Lepisosteus oculatus: one gene and its partner. Each later gene encodes a partner of the first gene's protein in a complex. Links are inferred from orthologs where the notes say so. Each region holds a gene or a part of one and is shown on either strand. Other genes may lie near its edges. The genes, in order: casc3 and rbm8a.

Evidence for each region.
Region 2: casc3 (region 1) and rbm8a share a complex: the UniProt entries of both Homo sapiens proteins name them as parts of the mRNA splicing-dependent exon junction complex. The link is inferred for Lepisosteus oculatus from reciprocal best matches to the Homo sapiens genes CASC3 and RBM8A.

Annotation. Positions count from the first base shown.
Region 1 is NC_090723.1:9,611,350-9,627,529, forward strand, and holds the start of casc3 (protein CASC3), read left to right. Parts: upstream 1-4,624; 5' UTR 4,625-4,638; coding exon 4,639-4,935; intron 4,936-7,631; coding exon 7,632-7,656; intron 7,657-8,311; coding exon 8,312-8,367; intron 8,368-9,193; coding exon 9,194-9,379; intron 9,380-9,764; coding exon 9,765-9,916; intron 9,917-10,185; coding exon 10,186-10,362; intron 10,363-10,848; coding exon 10,849-11,693; intron 11,694-13,103; coding exon 13,104-13,165; intron 13,166-13,803; coding exon 13,804-13,912; intron 13,913-14,507; coding exon 14,508-14,606; intron 14,607-14,929; coding exon 14,930-15,135; intron 15,136-16,020; coding exon 16,021-16,143; intron 16,144-16,180. UniProt on the Homo sapiens protein: Required for pre-mRNA splicing as component of the spliceosome. Core component of the splicing-dependent multiprotein exon junction complex (EJC) deposited at splice junctions on mRNAs.
Region 2 is NC_090722.1:2,285,362-2,300,972, forward strand, and holds the start of rbm8a (RNA-binding protein 8A), read left to right. Parts: upstream 1-7,521; 5' UTR 7,522-7,560; coding exon 7,561-7,627; intron 7,628-8,772; coding exon 8,773-8,832; intron 8,833-10,584; coding exon 10,585-10,662; intron 10,663-10,966; coding exon 10,967-11,103; intron 11,104-12,164; coding exon 12,165-12,301; intron 12,302-14,957; coding exon 14,958-15,003; 3' UTR 15,004-15,611.

The DNA of each region.
Region 1 (16,180 bases):
ATTGCTTGTGGCCCTTAAAGGTTTGGCCTGAGGAGCCCTTGTCTAGATCCCTGGTCACTAGTTTTTGGAGAGGAGCCCTGCTGATTCCCCTGTGCCTGGTTGGCACACAATCTCCTACAGTTCCCTGCGTCTGAGCATCTGAAGTGCAGTGTTCAGTGAAATATTACCCACCCAAGCCTATTAAGGGACTAGAAATAATAGTACTTATAGAATGTTGAATCGTACTTGAGCCATGTGCTGTTTGTTTCCCAGATACAGTTCTAACTGCATGGCCCTGGAATTCCAGAGATATGATCTTCCTGCCCCTTACCATGCTCCAGCTTTTAATGACTTGGTTTAATTGGTCTGGATCAGTCCTTAGCTGTTGAATTTGGGGTTTAAAACTAAATTCCAGACTGGATTACACAGTGGGTTTCTTAATTGGAGAAATGCAGTGCTTTTCACTGGGCCTATAAATCTCTATAGGGACTGTGCTTAGAATGAATTGGATGTCTTAAGGCTGTGTGACAAGAGTTCAGCAAAGAGGTGCTGGTATTTCATCCCCCGAGGAAGTTGAGCTGATTGTGAAAGGAGGGTTTTCATTTGAACTGTGACAGGAGCTCAGTCTGACACGATGCACGCAGCTGCCTGATTGGCTGATGGTGTCGTAATGCGCCTGGATGGCTGTGGTTCTCCTGGCTGCCGTGACACTAGGGGGCAGCAGCGCTGTCGCCCCGTTTCCTCTGTTCGAGTGTCGGCTATCCTGAGTCTCAGAACAGCTCCCTTCAAAGCCTGGGGGGACGGGACCGTCTTGTACACCCCCAGACCTACCGGGCAAAACCTGTGGGTTTATCTGCGTTTCTCTATGCACAATTAAGCCCCCCGGAAAAGACATCCTATCCAAATGGGTTGAATTAAGTAACTGGCGTCGGAGGTGGAATGAATACCAGGGGTCCCACTGCAGCTGGTGCCTGGACCTCCCGGGTGAACCTGGATGAACAGGCTGGCCCACCCTTTCCGAGGCTCATCGGCGTCCTCTCTTGACCAGGAGAAGGTAAAAACGTTTCGAGCTCAGCAAAGTCTTGGGGAGCTGTAGCCCGTTTGATTTGAGCTTCAAGTGGCTTCATTTGAAGGAGCTGCCATGTTTCCCCATTTCTCTGTTCACTGGAAATATAGGAATTTCCTAAGGCATTGGGATGGTGGTGGTCCAGCACTGGATCTCGCGGTTCAGGACCCCGGAGGTCCTTGTGTCCTCGCTGTCCCAAGCCCCCGCCGGTGTCCAGTGGGAGTTCCTCGGAGCGCTGCCCCTTGTTTCAAGCGCAGGAGTGGTGCTTTACCCTGATTGTTGAAAAGCATAAGAGACGCATGCTGTAAAAATAAACTGTACAAAGAGGAAAACTAGTCTAAAAGTGGGTTCATATAGCTGTTCCTCTGTCCCTCTGGAGGAGGGGAGAGGGGGTTTGCTCTGTTTTCCCTCTTTAAATGTTCATCTTCTGCATGTTCCTCAGTTGGAGGTATTTTAATCCCTTTGCTGTTTTTGTTAAAATTTTGGGGATTGTATTTCTTACCCTTTTTATTGTTAGTTTTACGTCCTGTCAGGTTCTGTGTAAAGATGCTCTTACAGCTGAGCTCTGTCCGCCTGGTCAGCTGGCCCTCGCGTCCAGTGCCCACAACCTGCCCACCCCTTGAGCTCCTTGCTTGTTAAACACTTGCAGTACAGAGCCAGGATCTGTGTGCTGTACATTGTGTGGGGTTGCACGTTTCCAGCAGCATTTGCTGTTAGTGAGGAGCACGACTGTGTCGATCTCTTATTTCGAGCTGGAATACCCTAGCTGTACATGATGAAAAACTTCTGCCCCCCTGGCCTCTCAGGTTAAGATTCCAGAGTCAGCTCCTCACATCCCTGACGCCTGTGTGATCCCAAGGCTACCTGGTCAGGTGATGACTGGTTTTCTTCAGGAATGCCGGAATACAAACAGAAATGCAAGACGAGACGCTGTCGGTGCTGCAGGGGGGCTGCGTCGCTTGCAGGGGTGTCCAGCTGACCGGCAGCGAGGTCAGAGGTCAGTGGGGTCCGTTTTGTTTTGGGCGGTTTGTGCCCTGTGTTTTTTTTCCCCGCTTCTTCTTCGCCTGCAGAATTGATCGCATCTCGCCAGTCCCCTCTGTGCTGGTCGTGCACGTTCAGGCGCAACACAACAAAAATGAGAGTATTTCTTTCAGCCTCGCCTCTGTCTTTCACCCCGTTTTTGTGTTGATGTTGGAATTCTGCTCTTCCCAGTTGTTGATCTCATGCCGTCCTCTCCCAGCCAGTTCCAAGGGTAAGCCTCATGGTGGGCCCCCGTGTGGAGCGGCTGGTCAAGGCACTTGTCTGAGCACGGGTTCGAGCCTGGGTCATGTCACTGACCCCCTGCTGAGGGTGGTGGTGGGGGCAGTTAGAACTCTCGCAGTGCTTGACAACACAGCGCCCCCTGTGGCCTCCTGGGCTCCCTGCAGGCAGGAGGAGGCATCAGGGAGGGGCGCTCCCCTCCTGTTGGGCCCTGGGCTACTGGTAGTGACTGGGCAAAAGGTGTAAAAAAAAAAATCTGATGGCCTCTTCCACTTTGGGAAGGAGTAACGAAAATAAGTGACGATTTACTATTAAAAAGCAAGCCTGCCATAGAATAGAACAAGGACCGTGATCAGCCTGTGCTTCAGACCTTGTTTGGAATGGGTTACGGAGGCTGGGATGTCGACCGGTTCCCTCGGCTCCTCGTGCGAGTTCCACGGCGCTGAGAAACCTGCCAGTCTCAGCCCTGTGTCGAGGCAGCCGTGATCAGAAGGCCCCGAGACGCGCGTCTCTTTCTCTCTGTGGTCGTCCCCGCTTCCTGTTGCGTCTCTGTCCTCTTCTGGTTCCGTTTCTCCTCCCCAGCGGGAGACGACAAAATCCCAAACTGTATATTTGACCGCCTCTGTACATAGCTTTCAGAAACACACACAAGGTGTAAATAAGCACGACGTGGCTGTTATTTTTATTTAAAGTTCAACTTCACTCTTGAGTGTTAACGTTCAGTATTGGTATTCTAAAAAAAAAAACATGCTTCAGTGTGAAAAAGTTGACAAAGTGGAATTGTTTTTCAATAAAATTCACAAACTCGAGTGAATGCCATGTTTTATTTGGAGGGGATGGGATATTTATGCTTTGCCTTCTCCCTCTCGGAGTTAGTAAAGGAACGGGCCACTGGTTGCACTGCATTTATTTTTGGTGTTTCTAAGAAATGGGACCTGGTTTCCCCCCAAATCGCCGTGAGATTCAGCTCTTTTGGTAGGAATCTTACACGTGTAACAGTGTGTTATAGAACAAGTAGAGGATAATTCCGCCCTTAAAAATGCAGTGTTTCGGGTGTGTCCTGTCAGGAGTCAGGCAACAGGATTAGGATATAGAGTGAAATCTGTACATGTCAAGTCTAGGCAAGTAAAAGCTCTTGGTAACACTTCATCTGGAATATGCTTATGTGTAAATAAAATGAAGACTGATAAAGCACATACTGCAGGTTTGCAAAGAGACTGTTCCACCCATCTAATGTTATTTGTTGGTAGCTAATTAAACTGAGGACCAAAGTCCAGCCATTTCTCAAAATAAAACAATGGGGCGTGCAGCTTGTTTCCTGCTTCTGCCACCCTTCATGTACAGAAGCCTCCTTATAAGTCGTCCAAGAGGGACTGCTTCAGGACCAGCAGTGAGAAAAGGACCCGAGGCCACAAGTGACAAAATGAAGGCAGTAGTGAATTGAGGATTGAAAACGGGAAGCCTGTCCTGTGTTAACAGGAAATAGTATAAATGATTCAGCAAATGGGGAAGGAGACATCCTGCTTTATTGATGCCATGCAGCCTTTCATCTCTTATTTTATGGATGGGTTTTTTTCCAGCATGAAAACTTTACACCTAAACTCAACAATCTGCACCTGATCGCGAGTTTCCGGAAAACCCTCGCGATTCCTGCGCAGAGCTCAGCAGTACCTAGTTCTTCCACCAGGTGGCAGGCGCCTACCGAAGTGGGGTCGAAGTGCTTCAGGCGCTTCTACCAGGTTATTGACCTGTTGACGTTTCTCATTGATCACTGTTGTTCATCTCTTCGAAAGACAAAGTCGAAGAACGCAGCCTGGTACATAAGTACCTTTTTAGTCGCAATAATCCCTCGAATTAATTAGAGAGACCGCGGTAGAGCCTCCTTGCTTTTGAAAGCACATCAACACGAGATTTCGAAGTCAGTACCCTGGGGGTTTGAAACTGGGCTCAGGTAAAATGACTACACCTTACTAACTGGAAAATGAAATCAACTTCATGCGAGAGATGTTTTTAAAAGATGAAATATGTTTCGGCAGCACAGCTGGGCAACTTGTTCTAGACTCACACAACTCTTTGTGTAAATTATATAACCAGCTGTAGGGGTTCTGTCGCGTAGTTTATTTTTTTTGTCATTTAGTTCGTGTTGCACTGCTGACTTTGAAGTACTCCACGTGGTGAACTAGTCAACGGTTTAAAAAAAAACCCCTATCATTTACTGCAAATCCGAAATAATTTAATACCCGACGGACAATCTGTAGTAGCAAACACTGCTTCAGTAAGTATTGCCTACACTTCCCATAAAGAGCTTTCGCGAGTCATGGCCGTGAGGGTTCATGGGAATTGTAGTGTTCCCGATGGCTTCGTTGCGCCTCCTCACGTGTGCTTGGCCTACGTTTCCCATAAGCCCTCGGGAGGCGCAAGTTTTCCCCTGTTCATTTCCCAAGATGGCGGACAGGCGGCGGCGGCGGAAGCGCGCGTCCCAGGACACCGAGGAAGAGGACGAGTCCGGTTCTGGCACCGAGAGCGGGAATTCGGGTCCAGCTGGAGGAAAGCCCCGGGCGAGGGCTCCCGAACCTGCGGTGCTGCCCAGCGTCCGGGTGCGGAAGAAGAGTGAGGACGAGTCGGAGTGTGTGAGTCTCTCGTCGCCGAACCCCCACCCCCCCCAACGCTTCTCGGCTTTGAGCTGGGGAGTTAAAAATGGGCTTCATCTGCTCGGCTCCTCTCAGGCCGCACGGCCTCGGGCTAGCGCTGCAGCAGCGCCCAGGAGGGAGGCCGTGGAGCCGCGGGTCCCTGCGGGGAGCCGGGCGGTCGGTGCGGGTTACACCGGGGCCGGGCGTTGAGCCCCACGGTCCGGCAGCTCCATACCGCTTGAGCAGCGGACGGTAGCCCCTGCCGACTGGAGGAAGCTACCAGCTGGATGCTGAGAGCAGATCGGAACCTCTCCCTTGTTGGTGGTCTGGGCTGGTGTGGGGAAAGGCAGGGGCGTGAATTCACCGTCCACTCGGTGCCCACGGACACGCGTCCTCTCCGCCCGGCCGCCCCGGAGCGCTTGTGGGGTTTGTACTCCAAGGGGTAGTGATGGGCTGTCTGGAGCAGATCGGATCCTCTGGAGCACAGAGCTCAAGGCCTGTGAATTTACAATCGCTTGACCAGGATTGTTTTATTTTCAGTTTCTTTTTGCCTATGGCACCCAGTTTCGTGAGCACGGGAGGTGCCGATGGGCTCCTCTATGTGAGCGGGGTCCTCAGAGCTGCTCTGCTGGGTGCCTAGTCTCCATACCTGAGCCACACGGGGCCAGAGCCCTTCTCTTCCCCCCAGTCTCCCTGGGCAGGAGAGAGCACGGGATCCCCCCACCGCCGACAGGACGCCAGTCCAGGGCAGGGGTCACCCCCAGCAGTGCTGCTCCCCACTTCACCAGCTGCTGGGGTACGACACCCCGCTCGGAGTACAACAGCAGCGTCTGCAGTGGAGACTCGAATCCCCAGGAGCTCAGACTGCTGCCCTCCGTGTCACACCTCCTGTGTCACAGCTGGCCGATGGCGGGGTCTCAAACGCAGTGGCCTGTTGACATCTGAAAACAGCGGGGTTGTGCAGAGACCTGCGCTTTATACACTGGTACCCCAAGTGCTCTTGGGTTCGTAAGTCTCTTAGCTTGACTCACAGAATCTTAAGACCCAAGAAATGCTTGATTCGTGAAAACATTTAACGCTAACGTTAAGCTGCTCTTAAGTCAGTGTTGAGATTCCAGAGTCCCTGACAGCCTGCAGGAGAGAGAGTTTTGGGGTCCAGGGGTGGGGATCACTAGCGGTGCTTTATTTCCACACCCTGCTAACGCACAGCAGCTCAGACGGGTTCTCGCCCCCCCCCCAGATCGAGCTTTAACAGCCGACGGTCGGGTTCTGCTGTGGCCCCTTTGCCCTCCTCCCTGCGTCCGAGCCTTCTGGCCCAGGAAACGTCTCCCCGGCACCAAGCTGGGGCTGCGGGAAAGAAACGCTAACCCATCGAGACCCTGTGGGCGGCGAGGTGGCTTGTGGCGTGCGAGTTACTGGCGTTGCTGGCGGCGTGTGTGATGTCCTGCGCCCCAGCAGAGATTTGAGAGTTGGGGAGCCCCAGTGAATCATCAAGTCTCCGAGTGTGTATGGTGCGATGCAAGTTGGGGGTCTTTCACCCCCCTTTTTTGCCGTCTGTTTCCATGAGTGGAATGTGCTGTGATGCCCCGGGTGTATATTGGGGGGCGGGGTCCGACCTGTTTCCCACATGTGCTGTCTGAGGTTGAGAGACGTGTTCTTCTAGGGCAAACCTTTCCCTAAAAATCCTAGGAAGCCTTTCTTTAGTTTCTTTCCTGGGAACGGTGGGCAGCTCCTGTACAGACTTCCTGGAAAATGGCGCTACTGGTGCTGTAGGCAGGGGCTACAGTCTGTGTGTCTGCTCAGCATGGTCGTTGCCTGAGCTCACACGTGTCCTGAATCTGTCACTATCAAGCTCTCACTGAGGGAGGAATGTGAAACTGAGGGAGGAATGTGAAACTGCTGTGCTTGAGTAACGTAAACAGCCTTTTCTGTTTCTAGTAGAATATTTTATCTTAAACAATACTGCCTTTCTGAAAATCTGGTAGAATAAATATTCAACAAACTTACCTGAAGAGAAATCATGAATATAGAGTGTTTTAAGCACACTAGTGCTATAGGAACAAATGGAACTGTGTTTTTTTTTTTAAGCTCATGTGCTTGACTCACAGTGATTTACGAAGTGTGTATCAAGAAAGAACAAGTAAAAATCATGAACACGTTTTTGAAATTCTTTTTGAAATAAGTCTGCTTTCTAGGGATCCTGGAAAATGTAGGAAGTGGTAACTCATTCCAAGGCATGGCATGGGTGTTGGAAAAGGAATTGTAGAATGTACACTGGGAAGGAAAATCCCTTCAGCTTTCTAATGGGGTTTATATGAACTGAATATCCAAGGATAATGTTTACTACAGGACTCCACTGTTGGATGGCCTAGTGTCCTTTTTTGTTCCAACCTGAGTAGTTAACCTTTCTTTTGGGTTTTTTCCTCAAACTATTGACTTCATTAAAAGATAGTTATTTATTAAACACGCCAGAGTCTGGGTTAGAAGTGTCACAATTATGAAATCAAATATTGGACCAGGTCTGTAACTGTGAGAAAATGAGCTGGGGTTCCCTTGCTAGAAAACTGTTAATTGCGGTTTAGCACTTACATTGCACTGCTGCTCTTATTATTACATCATTGAAAATAACGTGAGTCGGTTTTCTTGCGATAAGGTTTCCAACTAACACTTGTTTTTCTTCTCTCATCGTAATGCAGGAAAGCGAAGATGGAATAGGCGATGGTAAGCTGGTTTAAATTTCCTTTGTGACTCATTTTTAAATTGCGGTAAATGTCATTACTCTGGCTTCTTGCGAATGTGGCCCATTCGGTGTGTTGTGCAGTTAGTCAGCAGTCTCTGACCCTGCTTTTGCAGGTCTCCAGGCAAAGATCAGGTTAACTGAAGACAGGGGTTGATATATGCCTGCAAACTGGAGTAGGACTCTTATTAGGACTTCGGAAGAAATATGGACGGGGATGTGTTGAGGACAGTTAAGCTCTGGACAGGCCTTTAGCTCATATTGTTTATCGTCTAGTACAGTTTCTTGTGCTGTCCTGGGTTGGAGGCCTTACCTTTCAGTTAATATCTAGAGTCTAACATCTTGTGTACAACTGTAATTGTTCTTACTGGGGTTGTCACATGGGTGGGGCACTGTGTGTCATGAATGACTGCAGGGACCCCAGGCCCAGCCCTGAATGACATCGGTTCAGCAGCTTGTCCAGCTCTCTCTGATCATCATTTGTTAAATAGAGGGAAAGAGTTGCTGTTAAAGGCCTTGTCCATCCTTCAGGTGACTTAGTGAGACCATGACAAGACAGCCTGCTGCTTGCAGTCTTCCAGGTCTTATTTTATGCTGGGTTAGCAAATTGTATACTGAATGTTCTTGTTTTGTCCTCAGCAATCCTGTCAGATTATGAAAGTGCGGACCCAGAAGAGAACTGCTCACACTCTGAGGTTTGTTTCCTTCTGAGTTCTTTCAGATGCCTTTCTTCCTTTAGGAGAAAAACCATGCCCTTAAAGGAGCTTGGGATCCTTCAAGCTTTCAGAGGAGTGCAAGGAAAAGTAACTCCTCCTCACACGATTTGGCCTGGCCACGTGCCTTGAGGTTTCTGAGAAAAACTCGGATGTTTGTAACTGAAATTATAGCGTAGCTATGTCTGTAAATTGTAGGGGCTGTACATCCAGTGCCTACATGTCATTAAGAGCAGTCTTTTGTTTTAATGAAGTTTAGCCTCAGTCTCTGCTGACCTGTCATGTGTGTGGGTGTAATGTTCTCCTGTTTTACAACCTGTGCTGTTGTGATTGCATGTCAGTCACTCCACATGGCACAATATAGACTTGTTTATCATATTAATTAAGGGTTTCCACAAAGCACTGTAGGTATTTTCAGACTTTTCAGATAACACAGGGCCGAAACTCGACAAGCGTTTTCTGAATTGCTCCCCTTACCACCCCAGGCAGCGTCAGGCATGTGACGTGGTATCTTTGTTTTCCCAGCTATGGACTCCCAACTGTACAGAACGAAGAAACAAGCACCAACATACGTGCAAATGTTCCGATAAAGAAATTAAATTTACCGTATTAAAGTGCAAAGCCCTGGGACTGGCGCCCATGGGGTTTGGGGTGTTTACTCCAGCACTGCGCAGTGTGTTCAGGTGTCCGGGGTTTGTGTTGTATGGCTTGTGGTTGTCAGGAGTGTCCTAGCTAATTGTGAGTGTTTGAGGAGATGAGGAAGAAACGCTTTTGTGTTCTGTCTCCCCCATCTTCTCTCCCCACCCAGTGTGAGGAGGAGGAAGAGGCAGCAGGGTTCAGTGAAGAAGAGGGCTCCAAGCCCCCTGCCGAGCCCAAACCGTCAGAGGATGAGCAGGCTGGAGAGGAGGAGGAGGAGGAAGGAGGAGGGAGCAAAGAGGTGAAGTCAGAGGAGAAGGGGAACCTGGCTGGGGAGAGGCAGAGTGGGGATGGGCAGGTACTGTAGCTCTGTTGATCATCACTTTTATTTTCACCATTGCAGGGAAGCAGAAGTGTCCTACGTGTCTGAAACCAACAGTAATTTTGTTTTTATTGTACTTTTTTGTGTTGTATTTTAAACCCTTTGCTGGCATTCTGAAAAAAACAGTGCACACAAACTGCTCGTGTCCGTGTGCTTCTGAAATCCCCCCATTCCAGTCTTGGGAACAGGTGTCCTGTAATTAGAAGGATTGCACTCCCATTTAGTCTGCACGCGTGGTGTGGGGCCGCCGGCAGCCTGTTACATGTGCTTCTCTGTGCTGCGAGCTCTCGAATGCCCGGAGTGACCCCGTCTCCTCCTCTTCCTCCTTCCCTCTGTGCCAACTCCCCGCCTGTCCCGGCAGGAGAGCACGGACACCCTGGAGAACAAGTCCTCCGCCAAGCCCGGGAAGAAGCTGGACGATGATGAGGACCGCAAGAACCCCGCTTACATCCCGCGCAAGGGGCTGTTCTTCGAGCACGACGTCCGCGGGCAGGCCCAGGAGGACGACATCCGGTGAGGAGGAGCAGGGCCGCCGCCAAGGGGCTGCTGAGTGGTGGGGCGCGCTGTCGGCACCTCGACTCCAACCCTTTTTAAAGTCCGTCTCCTTCTGTCCCAAAGCCGCATCTTGCTCCTCAGGACTTTGTGAAGGAGCTCGGGTCTTTTCCCCTGCTTCTCTGTGTGCTGCTCTCTCTGAATCATCTCTTCCTGCTGGGGTCGCTTGGCGTCGTGACTCGGCGTTTCCCCTCCCTCTCACCTCTGTCCTGTTGTCCCCCACCCTGCAGGCCGAAGGGGCGTCACAGGAAGCTGTGGAAGGACGAGGGACGCTGGGAACACGACAAGTTCCGCGAGGACGAGCAGGCGCCGAAGTCCCGGGAGGAGCTGATCGCGCTGTACGGTTACGACATCCGCAACGCCAACGGGCCGGCGGACGGCCGGTCGAGCCGCTCGCGCAAGCCCAGGTACAGCCGTCGCGGGCCGGGGTTCGGGGATGGGCTCAGGGGGGTCTTTTTGGGTTATTTATATCATCTCGTTCTTGTATGAACGGACAAAGGTATGCTGAGCGCTGGGCCCGTATGAAGGTAATCGGAAATAATAACAAAAAAGTTGCCAGTCATCTCAAAACCTCCATTATTCCAAATATAAATGAGCGTGAAGTCTGTTTTTATCGCTCTTTTGCATTTTGACACAAGGTATAGTGCTGGGGAGAAAGGGTGAAGAAACAAATCACGAACTTCCAAAACCATCACGATGGGGAGTTTAGCTAATATACATAATCCACCTCTCCCAGTGTCTCCTCCTGCAGTCTTGGCCGAGTTGGCGGTCCCTTCTGTGACTCTTGAGCGCGGCGGAAGGGAAGACGGCCCCCCGGCTGGGGGGTGGTCCTGCCCGCCGGCCCGCGCTCCCCCTCTCCCACGTGCTGACCGCTGTCTGTCCTGCTGTTCCAGGTATGGCAGTCCTCCCAGCCGGGAGCGCCGCTGGAGAGACGGGGAGAAGCCGAGTCGGGCCTCCTGGCACGGAGCCGCCAACAGCGCCGGCCCGGCCCCGCCGTCGCAGCAGGGGGCCCCGGCCTCGCGGACGTTCGGCGGCAGGAGTTCGGCGGGGGGGCCGGGGCGCGTCTCGCACCCCCAGGCCCGCGGCTTCCAGAACAGCAGGCCCCCGCCCTCCTACAAGGAGGGGCGCGCGAACTACAAACCCCCCGACGACAGTAACCACCACGCCGGCGGCGGCTACAGCCGCGGGGGCCCCCCCGCGCCCCAGTACGCGGAGGGCGAGCCGGCGCACAGGCGGCGGGGGGAGGCCGAGCACGGCCCCTCGGGGGCGGCGGCGCCGGGGTCGCGCGGCGCGGAGGAGGAGGAGGAGGAGTACTACGTGAAGCCCGAGCGGGACTCGGCGGCGGACGCGGCGGCGGCGGCTCGGGACGCCTCGCCCCCGGCCCAGGCGGCGCCGGAAAGGACGGTGGAAAAGAAATCGTACTCGCTGGCGCGCAGGACTCGCACCCGGGCCGCCGAGCTGGGCAAGCAGGCCTCCCTGGAGGAGGCGGCGCCGCTGCAGCCGCCCGCGCCCGCGCCGGGCCCCCCCACCGCCGCGCCCGCGCAGCCCGGCCGGCCCGCCAGCCCCGCGCCCAAGCAGCCGCCCGCGCCGGGGGCCGGGCCCCACGGGCCGGTCAAGACGGAGAGCTGGGAGCCCCCGCTGGAAGGCAGCGGGCTGGACCAGGACCTGGCCCGGCTCAGCCTGAGCGGGCAGAACTGGGCGCACAGCCCGCCCTCCTACCTCCCCGGGGAAATGAGGGGTGAGCTTTCGGTTTTCTTTGCTCGCCATGGTGATGGGGGGAGGGGGGTACCCCCTGTTCACACTGGTGCTCGCCGGAGCCACGTGGCCCAGAGTTCACCCCCTTGTGTGTTATTGTTCGTCCTTTCTTAATAATAATAATAATAATAATAATGTTGCTTTATTGGCCCTATACAATTTCTTGCATTAGGAATTTGTCTTTGCGCAGACCCCAGCTTGCTCTCCATGAGACACAGACTGGGGGTCAGAGCGCAGGGTCAGCCATTTATACGGCGCCCCTGGAGCAGTTGGGGTTAAGGGCCTTGCTCAGGGGCCCAGCGGAGTAGGATTCCTCTGCCGGCTGTGGGATTTGAACCGGCAACCTTCCAGTCACAGGCTCAGATCCTGAGCCACAGAGCCACCACTCCCCTTAGTTGGGGGGGGGGGGGGGGGGGGTGTCCTGTAAACTCCCCCCCTAGATCTTGAGAGAGAGAGAGAGAGAGAGAGAGAGAGAGAGAGAGAGAGAGAGAGAACGGTTTTTCGGCTCCCCCGCAGTTCTGAGTGAACGCAGAGTTCAGGTGTGCGGCGCCTGTGGAGTGAGAGGTGCCCCATGACCTGTAGCCGTGGGTGGCTGTGGGGGATTACAAGAGCCACGCGCTTCTCCAGCTGAGTTAGTGGAGGATCAGGGCAGCAAACCTCTCTCGAGCCTGCTCTCTGCTTCTGCTTAGTCTGGGGGGGGTGCATGACCAGGCGCGTTGTAGCTCTTTTCATTTTTATATGATTAGATTTATATTTAGTTCTGTATTTAATAATTAGTTCCCTCCAGGCTCCTGGCCGTGCATCATGCTTTCTGTTTGTGAAGCTGTGGGGTCTCTTGAGTGAGATGAAGTGCTTCTGGGAACGGAATTCATTGCCCCAGTTTCCCTACCTTCCCAGAGGACTCCGCTGGTTTTTCTTCCAGATGAATCCATGACCCTTCTAGTAATATAAGTAATATTGTTGCCTTTTCGTCCTCCCAGTGTGCCCAGCAGAAGAGCTGTGACCAGAGACAGGCTCCAGTCCTGTGTACCTTTTACACTGGTGGACCTGATCAAATCCTTAAATGTGCAAGGACAAATTTGGCAATCCCCAAACGACCTTGATAATTAACCTCAAAGCCTGGTATTGAGAGAGTGGGTTCTCAAATTTGGACTTCGGTGAACTTGTTGTGTCCTTGCTGTTGTATTTGGTGTAGTTTGGATGTTTGTGACAGCTGGTCGCCTTACTGCCTGCTTGGGAAAAGTCTCCTAGTACTGCAGCCAAATGACAAAATTTACAGGCTAAATATTGAAAAGAGATTCAATTATCCCCCCTGTGGGGTCGGCTGTCTCTGGTTCTGTACTCCTCCTGAGTCCCATCGCAGGAGTGACTTTCTTCCCCCTTTGTTTTCCAGGGATTTCGAATCCGCTGCACATGGGTGGGGGTCCTCCCCAGTACAACAGGATGGAGGAGCTGGTGAGTCGTGTGTTGGTTTAGGTCCGGGAGAGGGGTCCTGCAGCAGGCCTGCTCCCGGAGGCTGGAAGAAACCTGGTCAAGAAAGAAATCTTTGTCTGCCAGGTTCCCCTTTGGACACCCGATCAGATTGTGGTTTCTGGTTATTTGTATCATGATCCACTGTTGAAAGCACGACTAATGCATCCACTTGAAGTGCTGCTGGGGCAGATGACCAGTGTGAGGGTTGATTTGCATGCTGCTGATCTCTAGGCGTCAAAGCTTCCTGATTTTTGTCCTGCAACCTGTCTCTGCCCCCAGGTGGGGACCCCCTGCTCCTCTCCGCAGGTTGCAGGAGTGTGGTGCCCCTTGTGGGACCCCCCTGCTCCTCTCCGCGGGGCTGCAGGAGTGGGGGGACCCCCCTGCTCCTCTCCGCGGGGCTGCAGGAGTGGGGGGGAGCCCCCTGCTCCTCTCCGCGGGGCTGCAGGAGTGTGGTGCCCTTTGTGGGACCCCCCTGCTCCTCTCCGCGGGGCTGCAGGAGTGGGGGGAGCCCCCTGCTCCTCTCCGCGGGGCTGCAGGAGTGGGGGGAGCCCCCTGCTCCTCTCCGCGGGGCTGCAGGAGTGTGCCGTCTGACCGGCTGTGTCTTCTCTCTCCCTGTCCAGGGGGTGAGCGCGGGCAGAGCCAAGCGGTACTCCTCCCAGAGGCAGAGGCCGGTCCCCGAGCCGGCGCCCATGCACATCGGCATCATGGAGGGCCACTACTACGACCCCAGTGAGTGCCGGTCTACAGCTTTCATTTGGCCCCCTCTGCTTCAAGTTCAAGTTTCAAGTTTATTGTCATTACACTCATATACATGGTATATGGTATAACGAAATACTATTTAGCTAGCTCTCGGACATAAGTAGTACGAAAAGGAAAGAAACAACAACAATACAATTGTGTAGCAAAAGAAAGAGAGACAACAGGCAGTGTGCAAAAAAACAACAACAGGCGATGTGCAAAATACAACAACAGGCAATGTGCAAAACATCAAAGCACAGGAGGGGTCTGAGGGTCCCATCAGCTGCTGGGGTGTCTTTTAAAAGAACCTCACAAACCTAGACAGAATGAATTCCCAAGTTTACAAATGACTTCTTGCACTTGAGCTGTTAGAATAATAAGCTGATAAGCGGTGGTTTTGAGCCTGAGGCTGTGTGTAGTTGTGGAATTGGTAAAGCTGTCACTCGGTTTGGTGTTGGGGGGTGGGGGTTATTTTGAGGAACTGCTGTACAGGCGCTCAGCCCGTAACGGGCCTGGTTCTGTTGGGGGGCCTCCCAGGTGCAAGTCGGCGCGTCTTCATGTCTTCTCCCTCCTGCCTCTGCCGCAGTGCCGTTCCAAGGACCAATCTACACTCACAGCGAGAGCCCCGCCCCCCTGCCTCCACAGGGCATGCTGGTCCAGCCTGAGATGCACCTCCCACACCCAGGTCTGTGTCCAGCAGCCCCCTGCTCTGCACTGACCGCTGGGCAGAGGGGACCGACCGTCTCTGTGAACTCTGACCTTTTCGGTTGCTACTAAGTCTATTCATTTGATGCTCTTTAAGGATCCTGTTTGCAGTTGTTTTGGATTTTGAGATTATACTGTGCTTTTAGCTGACGCATTTCATATGTTGTTCTTCCTCCTTCTCTGTAAGGCTGCTGTTTTGGTACAGGTCTTAATACCCATGATGCCGCACTGCCCCTTGCTTGACGTTTGTCCTTGACCCGGGGAGAGCTGCGCTCACTCCGGTTCCTTCTGTTCCTCTCGTAGGTCTGCACCCGCACCAGTCGGGCGCCCCCCTCCCGAACACGGCGCTGTACGCCGGGCCCCCCGTTTCCATGTCACCCGGGCAGCCCCCGCCACAGCAGCTGCTGGCCCCCACCTTCTACCCCCCACCGGGTGTCATGACCTTCAGCAACACCAACTTCCCCTACCCCGCCGGAGCCACGCTGCCACCCCTGTACCCCAACCCCCAGGTGAGGACACTTCTCCGGCCTGTGCTCCCCCCGGCTGGTTCTGCACCCACACTTCTGTTCACTGACCACACTATAATAATAATAATTGCTTACACTTATATAGCATTTTTCTGGACACTCCACTCAAAGCGCTATACAGGTAATGGGGATCCCCTCCACCACCACCAGTGTGCAGCCCCACCTGGATGATGCGATGGCAGCCATAGTGCGCCAGAACGCTGCCCACACACCAGCTCTCAGTGGGGAGGACAGCAGAGTGATGAAGCCAGTTCAGAGATGGGGATTATTAGGAGGCCATGATTGGTAAGGGCCAATGGGAAATTTGACCAGGACACCAGGGTTATACCCCTACTCTTTTCGAGAAACGCCCTGGGATTTTTAATGACCACAGAGAGTCAGGACCTCGGTTTTACGTCTCATCTAAAGGACGGTGCCTGTTTACAGTATAGTGTCCCCGTCACTATACTGAGGCATTAGGACCCACATGGACCACAGGGTGAGCGCCCCCTACTGGCCCCACTAACACCTCTTCCAGCAGCAACCTTAGTTGCTTGAAACACTGTAGTCATGTTGTGCTTTGGGGATTTTAAAACGTGTTTTTGTCATCAAGAAGAGTCGTCATCTCTACAAGCTTCTCTAAGCATCGCCGCTTTCCTTGTAGCCTGGACATTCATTCTCATTGCCTCTCGTCCAGATGGGAGCGTTCAGTCAGACTGGTAGATGTGAAACAGCACTAGTCCGTGGTACAAACTGTATTTGGAAGACTCCGCGGTTGTTGATGTTGGGCACGCGGAGCCCCGGTGATGTATTTGGTCTCCAGGCTGCCAGCGCTGCACTCCTGGGCGGCCTCTAACCCCGGCGGTGTCTCCGTTCTCTCGCCCGCAGGCGCAGGCGCAGGTCTACGGGGGGGTGACCTACTACGACACGATGCAGCAGCAGGCCCAGCCGAAGCCCTCGCCCCCCCGCCGCTCCTCCCAGCCGGTCACCATCAAGCCCCCCCCTCCGGAGGTGGGTTGGGTGGGGCGCCGTGTGTTCCTCGCCCTGG
Region 2 (15,611 bases), on another chromosome or scaffold:
TACAACCCACAAAATAAACCATCCTTCCAATACAGAACAGTGACTGGCAAAAGTATGCAGACCCTTGCACATTTCACATATGATTGCTTTAAAACATGCTTTCATGACACTTTGAAATAGCAATTATTGTTATATACTGTACATAAAATATCCCACATATTCAAAGCCAAATACAAAATGAAGGAAGTAAATATATAATTGATTAAGAAAGCAAAGTAGAAGAGTCATGACTGCAAGATTATTCAAACCCTGTGCTGTGGTGATCTTAAATCCATTTATGTGCACAAAATTACCTTAACGATCCACAGACTAATTTGAGTCTGTCTGTCTGTGTGCAATGATGGTGGTTCACATGATTTCTGAATAAATACATCTATGTCCGTAAAGTTCTTTTAGTCAACTACTGAATTTCAAGCAAACATTCAACTACTGTATGAAGACAAAGGGACTTTCAAAACAACTTAAGGAGAAAGTTGTGTAAAGGATCCGAGAAGAATCTAAAACATTTCCTTTAACATCTCTTTGAGCACGGGGAGTGTGATCATTGAGAAGTGGAAGGCACTCATCTGATCCTCTATCTGAACCGCCAGACGAGGGGAAACAGATCAGGGACACAGCTGTGAGACCAGCGGTAACTTTGGAAGAGCCAAAGAGAGAGTTCAGCGACTGAAATCGGAGAAAACGGGAAAGTCAGCAATGTCCCTGTTTCTCCACAATGCTGGCCTCTCTGGAAGATGGGGGATATGCATCTATAATCCCACATGGAGTTTACAACAAGGATATAAGTGATACTGTGAACATGTGGAAAAAGGTTTTGTGGTCTGGCAAAAGAAATGGGGAACATTTTGGTCTAAATGCAAAGCATTACACAAACCCAATGTAGTGCATCTGTCGCAGAGAGACAAGAAGTGGGAGTAGAGCAGTAACTCAGGGGATATACTGTATAGACTTGGAGTAGAAATATAATGGCCAGTTTTTGTCTGCTGTTGTGGGTTTCATTTTTCTTTGTCTGCTTCCCTTATCTTTTAAAGTGCCAATCAACGAAGGAGAGGAACCACACACTGTTTGCCTAGACACCCGCTAACCACCCCAAAGTAAATGGTGACTGAAATGTGTATAACCACATCTTGGATATAAAGGGACATACCTGTACAGGAAGCTCTGGTATAAAGGGGGTTGGGACAATGCACTGTTATACCTGATCAACTGCAAAGAGTCCTGCTCGTTAATTAGCTCTCACTCATTAGTCCTGCCTACCCCCCTCCACACACCCCCTGATCACCTGCCCCTCATGTCAGTACTAGAGCTCTGGCCAGGAAGGGCACCCTAAGACTCAGAAGCCTCAGCCAGGAGGATGTGGGCACAGATTTTGCACCACTGGACACAGGAGAGGACACCGAGACCAGAGGGGGGACGCAGCAGAGGACAGGTCCCACACTGGCTTCTCCCCCTTCTTCTCCCTGTAATGGGACGTGTTGTCTGGGATTGGCGGATCTGCAGAAATATGCAGAGTTGCAGCTCTTCCCCTGGTGTGGAGGAAGGAGGCTCTCCCGAGTACTGGATGGAGCATGTTGGGGAGAGTAGTGCAGTGGTGTTTCATCTGGGACTTTTGATTTGGGTTCTAGGGACTGTGGTATTCTTATCTTGTTCTTATGTGTGTCCACTATCATTTGTGGGCCCGATTTTTAATGTAGTGATATATTGAGTGACCAAAAAAAATAAGAAAGCTCATGTCAGTCAAAATCCTGACTTGAATCCTCTTCTTGAAGACTGGACAATCTATGCCTGTAAGTGCAACTTGGTAGAGCAAATTCATGCAAATTCAACAAGAAGAATGAGCACAAATTATACCAAGCCAGTGTAAAAAGACAGTGTTTGTAGAGACTTACCCCAAAAAAGAACTGTGGCTTTATCCTTAGAAGTCTTCAGTTTGAGCATTCATGTTTTGAATAGATTATGAAGTTAAAAAACCGTGTAGCATCATTTTGTAATGCCACGAAATGGGACCCCCATAAGAAGGATCTGAAATCTTGGCCCTGTGACTGATTTGCATGTTTGATGTCTAAGGAAATGGAAAGCTGATTGAAAATGTGTGAGCATTTATGATCTCTTGTAGTCAAGAGTTCAAGGAACGGAGAGAAAAATAACCAAACAGTAAACCAACCTGTTTGCCTGAAGCCAGATTTAGCCAGAAGATTTAGTGCTGGTGTGATTCTGGGATTTAATCAGTTCTTTACACTAAGAGGCTCAAACCACAAAATTATAAAAGCTGATTCACTGGAATGGAATTGTTATGTACTCATCTGGTTCATTACCTTTGACCTGTTCTTTTCTTGGGAAGGTGTACAAACTCAGGTGTTTGAATTTCCAACCCTCAGTAATTTTCTTCTTGGTTGTTCTTCATCGGTTTAGTCAGATGATTAATTTAGGAACAATATCTCATCTGAGACAAACACATGGGCTTGTTTCCACAGACCAACTGATGGCTCCAGAGAAGTAACTGATTTGCTACCCTGTTCTGCACTCTTGAAGAGGCAAACTCACAGCTTCGTTGAACGTCCCTTCACAATTACTTTTCAAAAGGAGCTGCTCGGGGGGAAATCTAATGGCTTCAGAATGGAAATGCTTTATCTACATTCTATTTTTGAAACCACAACTGAGAAGCTAATGAAAGCCAACTAGCAGGGGTTGCTGGGTGGAAGAAAATAAGATTCATATTCGGTTAATTGCCAAAATCCAGAAGAACTGCATTTTGGGTCCATGGCTTTTGGTGTGTGGTCATGGATGAAAGGAAAGACAAAATGGGACCAAATGTGATTCTGAAAAATAAGGGATTAGTGAGTTTTAAGATCTTTAGCCAGACCCAAAAAGGAGAAGCCTGTAACATGTTCGTCTGACATCATATCTACTTGGTTTATTTTTTGCCTGGATTGCAATTTTACTTGCTTCTTAAATACTAGAGATATTCTTAAAAGAGTGACAGTACTTGATACAAACAGAGGTATTACATCCCCTAACAATGAACTGGAAACAGAAAGTTAGATAATTTCCTCATTAATTGGAGTGTTGAATTAAATGTTTACATTACACACACAGGTCTACTAATATTTTTAACACTTAAAGGATTTAATAGTCAAATACAAAATTCATGACAATCCCTATTAACTTTTCTTTCAGAGAGGGTACACAATTTTCTTTATGATCTGATTTACTGTAAATAATTAAAATAGTCATTCAAATCAACAGGAAGGACAGTTTATGGAAATGCCTAAAGATCTCATTCAGTTTACAATCAATTAGGCGTTAATGTATTTAGACAGAAAATCCAAAATGCTTCCCCTTCTAAACGAGCAGTATTGGCAGGAAATTTCTCAGCCTGATCAAGATCGACGAATCGCCTGACGTGTGGGGGAACTGCACTGCTCGAGTGGCTGGTGTGTACAGGTCATCAGGTGACGCCCACCGGACACCTGAGTTAGTGGCCGCAACCTTGGTTTCAGTGCAGTGCAGACTCATCACCTGGCCGGCAAGTGCACACCTTTTTCTGAGGTTACAGTGATTTAGATTCTGTTAGGAGGGCGTTATTAGCTCTCTGATTAACGCTGTGGTGCTCAATATCTAAATAGGTGGGGAAGAGATCTCCTCTGATTCGTCTGCATCAGAGGGTGGATCAATTTTGCCATGCCTGTACAGCCTGTGCTGCAGAAGGTTAGAGGGGTAGTCTGTCTGCTTTTAATTCAGCCCTTCTGGGTAATATTCCCGTCCTGGGTTCTCAAGAAGATCTACAGTATGTGTCTGTCATAGGTCCTCTCTTTGATAACTAGAGATAACTAGGACTGTCTGCGTTACTGTTAATGTTACATTACTTCAGTGCATATGTGTTGTGTTGTTTTCCTGTGCTGTACTGGAGGAAGGCTTAGCTGCTCACCACAGAGCTAGGTTACCGGTGTGGGTGTGGGCTTGTTCTGCCTTTTTAAATTGTCTGAAAGGGGATTGCTTTGGCTTCTGCTGGCAGCCCAAGGGAGGGGCCTTTTGAGAACCCTAATCAATTGTTTCTATTTCTGTTCTGATTGTCTCACAAGTGTTAGACTGTGTACAAGACCAGAACATTCTCTCTTATGGTATGGCATGCCTTTCAACGAGTCTCCAGCTTATTTTAAATACTCAAATTCTAATGTAATTTTCTTGCCTGTGAAGGGTTTAAATTCTTGATCCGTACAGCTTGTTCAGCAAAACATTAAATGTATTTACTGTTGATAAGAGCGAGGGCCTGCACACACAAAGAAGGCTTGTTTTAAGAATCCCAAAGAATTGTTTTTGTGTAGAAGGCCAATTGTAACTACCTGCTTTTAGAAAACACTGATATAGCTCAGTTACGTAGACATCTTATGATTAAAGTAGAATTTTGCTTAACCAATAGAAATTAAGACTGAAGTTTTTTTTTTCTTGTTGAGACTTAAGCTCTTTGTCTTCCTTATCAAGTAAGTGTACAAAAGGTCAGCTGTACCTTTTCTTGTTAAACTCATCCTCCTACTGTAATTGCAGGGAGGGTGCTTCTCTTCAGCTGAATACACAGTAAACTCCTCTTCTGCTTGAGGAAAAGGTTTCCAGTGGATTTGTACTCTACACCTGGAATTAACATGGTTTGAACAGTCCTTATAAACGTTAGTGGTCACAATATTTGTCGTGCAGAAATGAAGCAGATATTGCCATGATACATTAATTCCACCTGAGGCATTAGATTTAGCTAATTCATAAAAATTGTTAATAAACCATGAGATTCACAAATTCTGTTATGTTGTGTAGTGTCAAAAAAATGACAAAGTTCAGGTGCCTGTGAAGCAGAAGTCTCTTTATTCATATGCATTTGGAAGTCTGGCTTGCAACCACCAGACTTAAAAAATAAGTAGCTGAAGATGGTCCTTTATACCTTAAAACAAAAAGAGTTACTATGACACATTCTAAACAAATGATGAAAAAGCAACACCTGCCAATTAATTATATCTAAGTTGCAGACTAGACAACAGTTAGTTCTTTTCATATTATGGGCGTACAGCCATCTTACCAAATACATGCCCCTTATCTTACTGACCAAGGACAGGCAGCATCTTTATATACATTTGAGCACAAAGCCTACGTCAAGCCACTAAACTGCATAGTTTGCAAAAAACATACAAAAACACAAAAATGATATGAATTATCTCACTTCCCGGGCATCTCTCTTATCTCTTCATTCTTCAGTTGTAACTCTCAGTTTACGGTTCTAGACGAGGGGGTTGATGAGGAAGAGGTGCATTTTTGAAAACTACTATCTTTAATAAAAAAAATCTTGTTTGCTTCGGTTTATACTACACTTTACTATTTGTCCCATAATACTCTATGTATTTACCAAAACTGTAAATCTATAGATCTAAGATTACATTACAGATACAGTAGATCTCAGATTAGATAACAACCTAATTATTGGCACCAACATGAACACTGTTGTAAAATCTGCTCTTGATATGCAGTGCAGACAGCTGGGAACTGAGTTCACAAAATCTACACGCTACATCCTCTGCTTTCATCTGATCTACAGTAGTTGAGCTTGACAGTTGATAAATACTTACCACCTCTGCCAGAAATGTTATGTTTAACCCTACATAGGTCTTTCTCTAGGACTGATGTTTGATCATATTCATATCTCTGTTCTCTCAACTGAAGGATGTTAGTAATCATCTAACATCATAATGCAGTAACCACACTTTTTTGCCAACATCCCAACAGAACAGAAAATGCTACTTCACCAATACTCAGTTGCAGAATTAAGCATTTCATCATCCACTTCAATCCAAAATGTATTGATTCCTTACTTTAATAGTGCATTTTACAGGGTGTGATAAAGGTTTTATTAGAAAGACTAACACTTTGTCCAACTCCAATCATAATAAATCCATATTGAGCAAAATTAAAGACTTAGAAACTATTTAAGCTTTCCTTGAGCACTCTAGAAAAGGCACTTTCTTTCTGAGGAAGTATGGAACGCCAGCTGGAAATTACAGAAAGACCACGATGGCTTAATCAGCCAGGATGCGGTTTCTTGTTCAAAGAGCTAAATAGCAGTATTAGATTTTATCATTCAAAATCTTGAAGCTTTAAGGCAATGCAATAATTGAAATCTCAAACACAAATTTCACTGTGAATTCTGTTCTTTTTAACCAGTTAGTTTAAAGTCTTAAGCTGGTCTCTCAGAAAGTTACTTTAGAACATTATTTAGTAAATACAGTAACTGCAATGTCAGGACTTGTTGGCTTCTGCCACACAAATCCTGTATCCCAGCACATTCGTCTCTTCCAGAACTGATCACTGCAGTGCTCTGCTCGCTGGGCCTCCTGCTCCCCATCTCGCAACCTTCATCCGTCTGGCTCTGGTCTGCTCAAACTTGTTGAAACTGGGGGTGACAGGCCTTCTCCTGCTGCGCCCCAGAGCTCTGGAGCTCTATACCCAAGGATACCAGAGTCACATTCTCTGCATTCTGCATTTCAGTTAAAAATCCTTGATTTGCCAGCAGCCATATCACCCTGCAACTCACAACTGGCAGCCCACTGAAGCTAAGCAGGTGTGAGCCTGCTCAGTACCTGGATGGGAGACCTCCTGGGAAAAACTAAGGTTGCTGCTGGAAGAGGTGTTAGTGGGGCCAGCAGGGGGCGCTCACCCTGTAGTCCACGTGGGTCCTAATGCCCCAGTATAGTGATGGGGACACTATACTGTAAACAGGTGCCGTCCTTCGGATGAGACGTAAAACCGAGGTCCTGACTCTCTGTGGTCATTAAAAATCCCAGGGCGTTTCTCGAAAAGAGTAGGGGTGTAACCCCGGCGTCCTGGCCAAATTTCCCATTGGCCTTAACCAATCATGGCCTCCTAATAATCCCCATCTATGAATTGGCTTCATCACTCTCTGCTCTCCTCCCCACTAATAGCTGATGTGTGGTGAGCGTTCTGGCGCACTATGGCTGCCGTCGCATCATCCAGGTGGGGCTGCACACTGGTGGTGGTGGATGGGAGACCCCATTACCTGTAAAGCGCTTTGAGTGGAGTGTCCAGAAAAGCGCTATATAAGTGTAAGTGTAAGCAATTATTATTATTATTATTATTAAGTTTTGCCAATTTTGTCACGTCTTCTCCTTGTAAACTTTTTTTTTACTGTAAAGTTCTTTGGGAAGTTAATTTTAAAGGTGCCATGTAATTAAGGTTTTTATTATTATTATTATTATTATTATTATTAAACCCTTGTGTGAGAAAAGGCAAAAATGATCCTTTTAAATTACTTTTAAGTTGGTATTTTTTAATTTCATAACTTATATGCGTGATAAAACATTTTTAATCTTCACTTATAAAAATAAACACATTTAAACCAACGGCACACCGTCTTTTGTTCCGTCGACGTTTGACCTCACGCGTGGGGTTAACAGACCTCCTCAAAATGGCCGCAGACTCGCCTCTCCGCGATTTCTTCCGTTGGCGGTTAAAGAAGGTGACGCGTTTCCGGTCTCGCACGTCTTTCCACACACGGCAGAGAAGATGGCGGACGTCCTGGACTTACATGAAGCTGGCGGCGAGGATTTTCCTATGGATGAGGATGGTGATGGTAAAATTTAATATACCTTTCCGCGGACCACAGAGTAGTTTAAAATAAGAGCAGTCGGTTCGTCTTTTTTTCTTAGGTATAGCCCGCTGTAAACGTTATTTTTCGGCAAAAGATAGTTCAGCAGTGTACAAATGAGCCACACTGTTTGTCTGGATCTGGTTTGGTTTGAATGTAATTTTGTAGTTATTCGCTTATGGGTGACCGGGGGTGCAACTATATTTATTAACGGCCCTTATAATCATTTTTGTTCGCGGTTTTGCTGTATCTCTGCCCTCCCTTATTTCCTACACACGCAGTGTAATTTTCGCTGTCGGCTTGTAGGGCGGTCTATAAGCTCTGCTTGGGTTCTGTGGAGGTGCTGAGGTTCAGCCATTGCGGCTGTTAAAATATTTACCTTTGCTCATCGTCCAGAGCGGAATACGCTTGCCAGGCCGCAGGGAGGCGGGCGTGGGAGCCGCAGGGGAGGCCCGGGTTTGACTCGGGCCTGGGCGCCATCGGGGTGCAGGGTCTTGTTTAACAGGGTCTGCCATCTGGGGTCCGACTCGGACCCCGTCTTTCCCACACGGTTCACCCACAGTCCTCTGATCAAACTGGATTCCATTAACGATGCAGAATTGCTGATGCCGCGGGGGGAGAGGGGGGTGGGGATTGCTGTAACCACGATCAATACAGCCGATCGGCGTCGTGAAGAAGGGTTAACGATGAGGGGATCACTTGTTCTGTGTTGTTCCAGAGAATAACTGTCCGAGAATGTAACGTTGGCTATTTGGTATAGAATTAAATTATATAGAATAAAATCATCTGCTTTTTAGTTGAACCAGTTGTGTGCATGGTATGCTATGATAGCACTGTTGCTGTTGTCTTTGTCCATGTCAGTTTACAATCAGAGAAGCTTAAAAAGATACAGTCTTGAATGGGCAAAGTGTGTCATTCCCAATTAGATCAAATAAATCATAGCATATCAGAATCGACAATGACCATATCAAATTCAACAGTAGCACAATGGGAACACACTTTGTGCTAGCCTCAAAAAGTAACATTTTGTCAATGAATGGAGAGCAAAAAGACATCTTCTGTTTTGACCTCTTTATAGATGTGTTCAACGCGGGAAAAACTAATGCCCACTGTACTGTCTTCTTTTTCAGAAAGCATCCATAAGTTAAAGGAAAAGGCAAAGAAGAGAAAAGGCAGAGGGTTCGGATCAGGTGAGTCCGTGTTGTGGAAGCATGTTGGCAGCTGTACAGATGGATTTCTAGGCTGAGCTGGAAATGAGAGCTTCTGGCTGTTTTGTCATTGGTGATTAAATGAGTAACCTGGAGAAGTTACTTTTAAAGGTGCTGTATAACAAAGTAGGGCTGGGCGATATGGCCAAAAACATTATCTCAATCAAAATTTTCATATCAGTCGATATAGATAATTATCACGATGAATCTCAAATAATTATTTCTTTCAAGTTTAAAGGCAGATTTTTTCTCCTGAGTGAAAGTTGAAGGAACAGTTAATTGGAAAATTAAACGACTCTTTATTTTATGAACACAACAAACACTTGCCAAACAGCAGAAACATTAAACAGATGAATAGAGAGTATTCAAGTCTTTTTTATGTAAAAATATACATGAGTAAAATGTACAAAATAAATATCTTAATAGAAAAATTAAATACTGCAGTGTGATAAAACACACATAGAAGATGGTTCAGACAGACTGCAAAGTTTAAAGTGCTCTGTTTTATGTCTGATCGTAAAAAGCCAAAAAATCTCCAAATTACTGAAGTTGAATGACCTTTTCTGTCGACGATGTCATCGTCCTTCGAGCTGGTCATTAGCAGCACTACATTTGCTTCAGTGTCGCTCATTTCTCCACTCTAACTACAATCCTGTCAGCCACCACCGTGTGGATAAACAGCACGTTAGCAGCCCGGTCTGCAACACGCATGCGCAAAGCATAAACATATATATCGAACATTTATCAAACTTTTGTTAAAATTATATCGAGGAAAATTATATCGCGATAATTATCGTTATCGAGTTATCGCCCAGCCCTATAACAAAGTTCATTATTATCAGGGGAAAATGTTGATGTGGAAAATAAATATGTTCTTGAACTTTAAGTTCACTATTAGCCAGTGAAATACAGCCTGGAATTTTGTTTTTCATGATTTTCCAATGGAATACAATCTTGAGGTGTCCACCTTGACCATTGCTACTAGATCTCTAGGTCTTAACAGGCTTATTGAGGAGCTAAAGAGAACAAGAAAACCCGGAGGGCCTGGGACATGTAGGACCGGACTGGAGCCTCCTTCTTGTTTGATCACACGGCTCCAGCACATTGAAGCATGTTTAGCAACAATCCCAGCTCCTAATGAAGGTGTACAGGAATGATTGTATTTGGAGCACCCGTTTTGCAGGAAAAGCTGGTGGTTGTGGCAGTCGATCTGACAAGCAATTCAGCTCTCTTGTAGATATTCAGATTCATATATTTTTGTACAATTGTAGATCTAAATTAAGACCTCTAAAAAAGAGACCTTTACAAATTTGATGTGCCAATTGCTTCTTTTTATAAAAGTGTATTGCCAAGATGGATGGTGATTATGTTGCCATACTGCATTAAATACATGGAAAATAAAGATTACAACTGCTAAATGCCTGTTTTCAGCAAGTCGGGTGCATTACTAACATAAGTTTAATTGTTTTACTAGTTTTCTATCAAAATGACTGCTCATTAGGCTTTTTTAATTACTGAAGTACAGTCTTTATCTATTCTTCAAGCATATGGAGTGTAGGAGCGATAAACTGAGTCCTGTATCATGCTTTTCCATCTTGCTAGGAATTTTTTCTCACTGCATTAATTGTAGTTAATTAATTAATTGTACACTAGCCTAATGTAATGATTTGATGTCCCGACTTTGATTGGGGTTCAGTTTGAGAGCTGTGTTACTGTTGGTGTACTTTTCCACAGAGGAGGGGGCGCGGTCCCGGGTGCGAGAGGACTATGATACAGTCGAGCAGGATGGTGATGAACCAGGACCTCAGAGATGTAAGTACAGAGGGTGTCCCCAGTACTGTGCAAGATCAGAAGCATTAAAGACGAGAGGATGTCAGGCTCATCTTCTAGTTTGGTATCTAGTAAATAGGTGGTTCATCTGAAGCCCATATCCAAGCGTTTCTTGAAGGGTCTCATGGAATTGGCTTTAACAGCACTGCTGAGGGGTTTGTTCAGACCTCTATCGCCCTTTGAATGAAGAGGTCGTTTCAAAGTATAACAGCTTTGAACTGATTAAATGTTAACTACACGCTTCTTCCTGTACTGAAAAGGTGTAACAGTGTTCCTCTGTTTACAGCTGTCGAAGGCTGGATCCTGTTTGTGACAGGAGTCCATGAAGAAGCCACAGAAGAGGACATCCATGACAAATTTGCAGAGTTTGGAGAAATCAAGAACTTGCACTTGAATTTGGACCGAAGGACGGGCTACCTTAAGGTAACCAACCTCACTTTTTTTTCTATAAGCCTAGCTCGAGGGGACATTTTTCCTTTTTCCAGGTTTTTGATTCAACCACCAACTGTCTAGTTGCATAACATGCCTTAATGTGAAATGTCCCCTTCATTTTACCATGTTTCTTGAGTTTGAGGCAGGTACTGAAGAAATTTAAAGTGAGGTCCTGTTTGAGGTTTAGTGTCCCTACTTTTAGATGTGATGTCTTTTGTCATTTGGGGCATTTTAATTCTTCATAACGTTAAACAACATCAGTACTGAAAAACATGATCTGTTCCTAAACTGTGCAGTATATAACAGGGCAGATTTGGGTCATCGTCCTTTGTGAGCTTTAAACAGCCAGTCTTGATTTCAGTGATAAAATAAATACTGAATGCTTTTTTTGAGCAAACGGTCACTAGTCTCATAAGTTAGATGGCACTCAAACATACTTGGAATAAGTTTAGAATATTGTTTATTTATTTTGTGCGTGGTATAATTCAGCTTATTCCACAGGACATATACCTTGCTGGAGGTTTTGTAAGTGTTTAAGCTCCTTATGTGGAGCTCAGTATTCATTTCTTCATTGATTTGAAAGTATGATTAACCATGAGCTGTATTAATATCCAAACCAAATGGGAAGAATTGCTTTATTCTGTCTTAATCGTGAAACTATTTTTCTGACGTTCAAAAATCTTTGATGCATAGTTTCTTCATTTTAAGTGCTCACGTTTTTGCACTGTAGTACTTTGATCCAGTGTTAATGTGAATTTTTAAACGTTTGTGGTAATTTTTCACTAATAGTCTCTTTAGAAAAGTAAAATAGTTTAGCATTTTTACAGGCTGGGGATGTGGTATCTCATCTCCCGTGTCGTGTGAAACGAAGGTCGTCCTTATCAGAAGTATTTTGTTTATTGGGTGGCCTTCACCAATTTCTACCCTGCTTAGGGTTTCTTACAGCACAAGCAAACATGTTCGGTATTGTTTACCAAGTGGTATTTGAAGAAGAAACTGGGGCATACGGCGGCGATGGGGTGTAATCAAATGGGATTTCCATTCTCTTGCAGGGCTACGCCTTGGTGGAGTATGAAACCTACAAAGAGGCTCAGGCAGCCATGGAAGGGCTGAACAGTCAGGACCTGATGGGCCAGCCCATCAGCGTGGACTGGGCCTTCGTCCGGGGCCCACCGAAGAGCAAGAGGAGGTCAGTGTCTCCGCGGGCTGGCTCCCACCCGTGTGGGCCGCAGGGCATCGCATCAGAACTCGTAGTGGTGATGTGGCGAATAGACCAGAGCAGGAAAGCTTTAACCAGGGAATACCTGACTTGGGGATCCACACGAGGGTTACTGCTCGTCCTAATTGATATCAATGACTTATTATAGTACTGCGAGTAAACTAGGTAGGTTTGTAGTGTCACATCGACAGGATACTCCTCCTCCTACCACAAAGGACATTCAACATTATTTTGATGGATTTCAAAATGGGTAGTTATCTGTCAGAGATTTAATGTAGTCAAGTGTTAGATGCAGACAAAACCGTGAGATACAAATAGAGAATAGGAAAGGTTGAGCTTGAAGAAGCAACTTGTGGTTGTGGGAGAAAAAGGTAGTAGAATTGGGGAATTCAGTGTTAAGACTTTGACTAAATTGGAAAAAAAAAATCAATATTGTTTTAATACAGATGTTTTAAGACTTATTTATTACTAAGACCTTATTACTAAATAAGTTTTAAAATGTAATAAAAACTTTTTTCATTATGCTGACAAATCTCTTCTTATTATAGAAATGATCTGGTGTGGGATTGGTATTAGTATTGATTTTTAAACAGTATGCAGCAAAATATAGCAGTGTTGTAACTTTCTTTTTATATAGTTTAGGCAGTGTTCTTATGTCACTTCATTAAATTTTCAACAAAGATTGCAGTTAATGTGATTCTTTCAGAAAGCATTTTATTTTTAAGTGTGCTTATCACTCTCCTTACTGTATCTCTGCTACTTCATTACTCTGGTACAGTTTGCACTGACAACGAGAGGAGGAACAACCAGATCTGCCTTTTAATCTTATAGCTTTTTAGTACAAGTAGGTTATCATGCAGCTTTTGGAACAAAATCTGAGGAAGGATTAATTTTCAGAGTTTTATTTAACTATATAATGTTTAGAAGTGGCTCTAATTTAAGGCGTTGACTACATAGCACAGTAAGTGGTATGTTACTCATAGAGAAAAGCAGGACCTGCTGGTGAAATGCTCATTACAGAATATAGTTTTGGTTTCTGTTTTTGTTTTTTTAAGTTCACTAAGGAAACTAAAGAAGAATGATGTGGCACGGTGCCGATTTTGCATAAACAGTAGCTTCATTGCCTTGTGTTGGTTAGGTGTTGGTGATTATTACAAATTGTGCTTTTGCCTTTGAGCTATTGTTATGAGCTATTGTTACAAAATCCCAGTAGCACTTTTTGTCCTGTCGATGCCGACTGGAAGCATGACAGTAGTTAATAGGTTTATATTGGTTCTTATAATTCTAAATAATAAATTTGTAGTTCTTAAGTAGTCCTTTTAAATATTCAGCACAGAAAGGAGGTTTTAAATCCAAGCTGTGCCAAGTTAGAGACCTGTATTCCCCTACGTTAACTAGCACAGCTGACTTAATACTGAATCTTCATTGTTTCAACAAGACCTGCTTCACATGATGAACTCTGAACCTGTTCCAGATCTCATACTCTTGTCCTCGGGGGCCGCATGGCCTCAGAGTCACATTGAACCTCGACTCTGTGACATCGCTGACCTAATTTTCCCCAGTGGTTCTTGGTCTAATGCACATCAGAGTTGCACAACATCAAAGGGGAACTGCAGTCCCAATTTCGCCGACTGGTTATTAAATCTCGGTAACACGATGAATTCATTAGAAAAAGCTTGCAAATTTCAAATTAAGCACAGAATCGTGATTTTTGTGAAAGTACCAGTAACCCCCTGGTCTCCGAGAGCGAGAGTTCCCATGAATTGACGTGATGTGGCCCTTTCTGCTCACTAGTCACTGTCAGGACTAATGCAATGTGAGGTACGAGCGAATAAGTACAGGTTCTGCAGCAGACAGTTTCCTGCAGAAATGTTCCAACGTGATCTGCAGGCAGAGTTAACGAGAGTATTTGTCGGCAAAAACCATCTCGGAAGTTGAGAGCAATATTTTCGCTGGATTAAAATATGTATTGCCAAGCCTGCTTGATTACAAGGTAATAGGGCTGCTTCATCTAATCCGATGTTTTGTTGCCTCATTCTGAATTGCAGAATATTGCACGGCGCGTCCCTGGAAATGTCTTATTTTTCAATATAAATTGGAGGCTACACAAGTGACTGTGCACATTTTAATTTAATTGTGGCCTGAAATGCACTTATCAATACTGTTTTTTTTATACCTGAAATATAAAAATAGTGTTGCGGTTCCTCTCTAAACGGGTACAAAATTGACAGATGGCAAAGCTTTAGTGGCTTTGGGTTTTGAGAAATGAAATTAGTGTCGATAAGAAACAAATTAGTGGCTGAGCCATCGGGATAAATGCATAGTTAATCCTATTAGGACCCTGAGGTTTAGATTTTACCCCCCCTTCTTGTTTAGACAAGGGCTTTGTTTAGACAAGGAGGGGGGGGCTTACTCTGCTCCCTGTCACCCTGGCCAGCAGGACTGCATTGCCTGATATTTTACTTGCAGGCTGTCAGTCAGGTTGTCTGTCATTGGTCCTCACTCTGTAGAAGCAGCTGAAAGGAATCCAGTTAGAGTCAGTGTGGTGCTAAAAAGTAATTCTGTGTTACTTTCATGGTGTTCAGTTGCAGCACAGAACTGGAATGTTTTTTGTCTTTTCTCACAGGGGTGGAAGGAGAAGAAGCAGAAGTCCTGACAGGAGACGGCGCTGAGTGACAGTTTTACCCCCACTTTCCTTAGTTTTCCTTCTTCGTTTTACGTTGGTTTTGGTATATTAAATGTCCTACTTAACCTTTTATGGGTTTTTGTATTTTTTATGCAGGAGAATGCTCCCGGTAGTCTGTGTGCGCGAAGTGGTGGAAATCGGAATTAAAAGCTGAAGTTTATTTGTAACTTGTTGTGCAGCAGTTTTAATCTCATCCTTACTGTGTGTGGATGGCGAGTGGAGGTGTTAATTAGGTGATGTGTGAATACAAGAGGCTACAATTTGTACAAAATGCAGTAGCTACATCACATGCATCTAGTTTCCTCAACGTGCCACTGATGACTGTCCCCTCGCTGATTACTAGTGACTTCCAGTGCATCAAGGAGAGCATGCTTTGCCAACTTGGATCAAAGAGGGAACAGCTTTTATTCCTCTCTTCATGTCTGCCATCTGTGAGAAATCTTAAATGGGGGTGGTGTTACAATAAGGAATTGGGACTGGGCTACAAATATTTCCCATCTAATTTTTTACTGCCTTAACTAAGGTTGAAATGAGGGTTGTGTTCGTAGTGTGTGAACTGAAGCATCTTAGTTTTCGGTCAGGATCGATATTGAA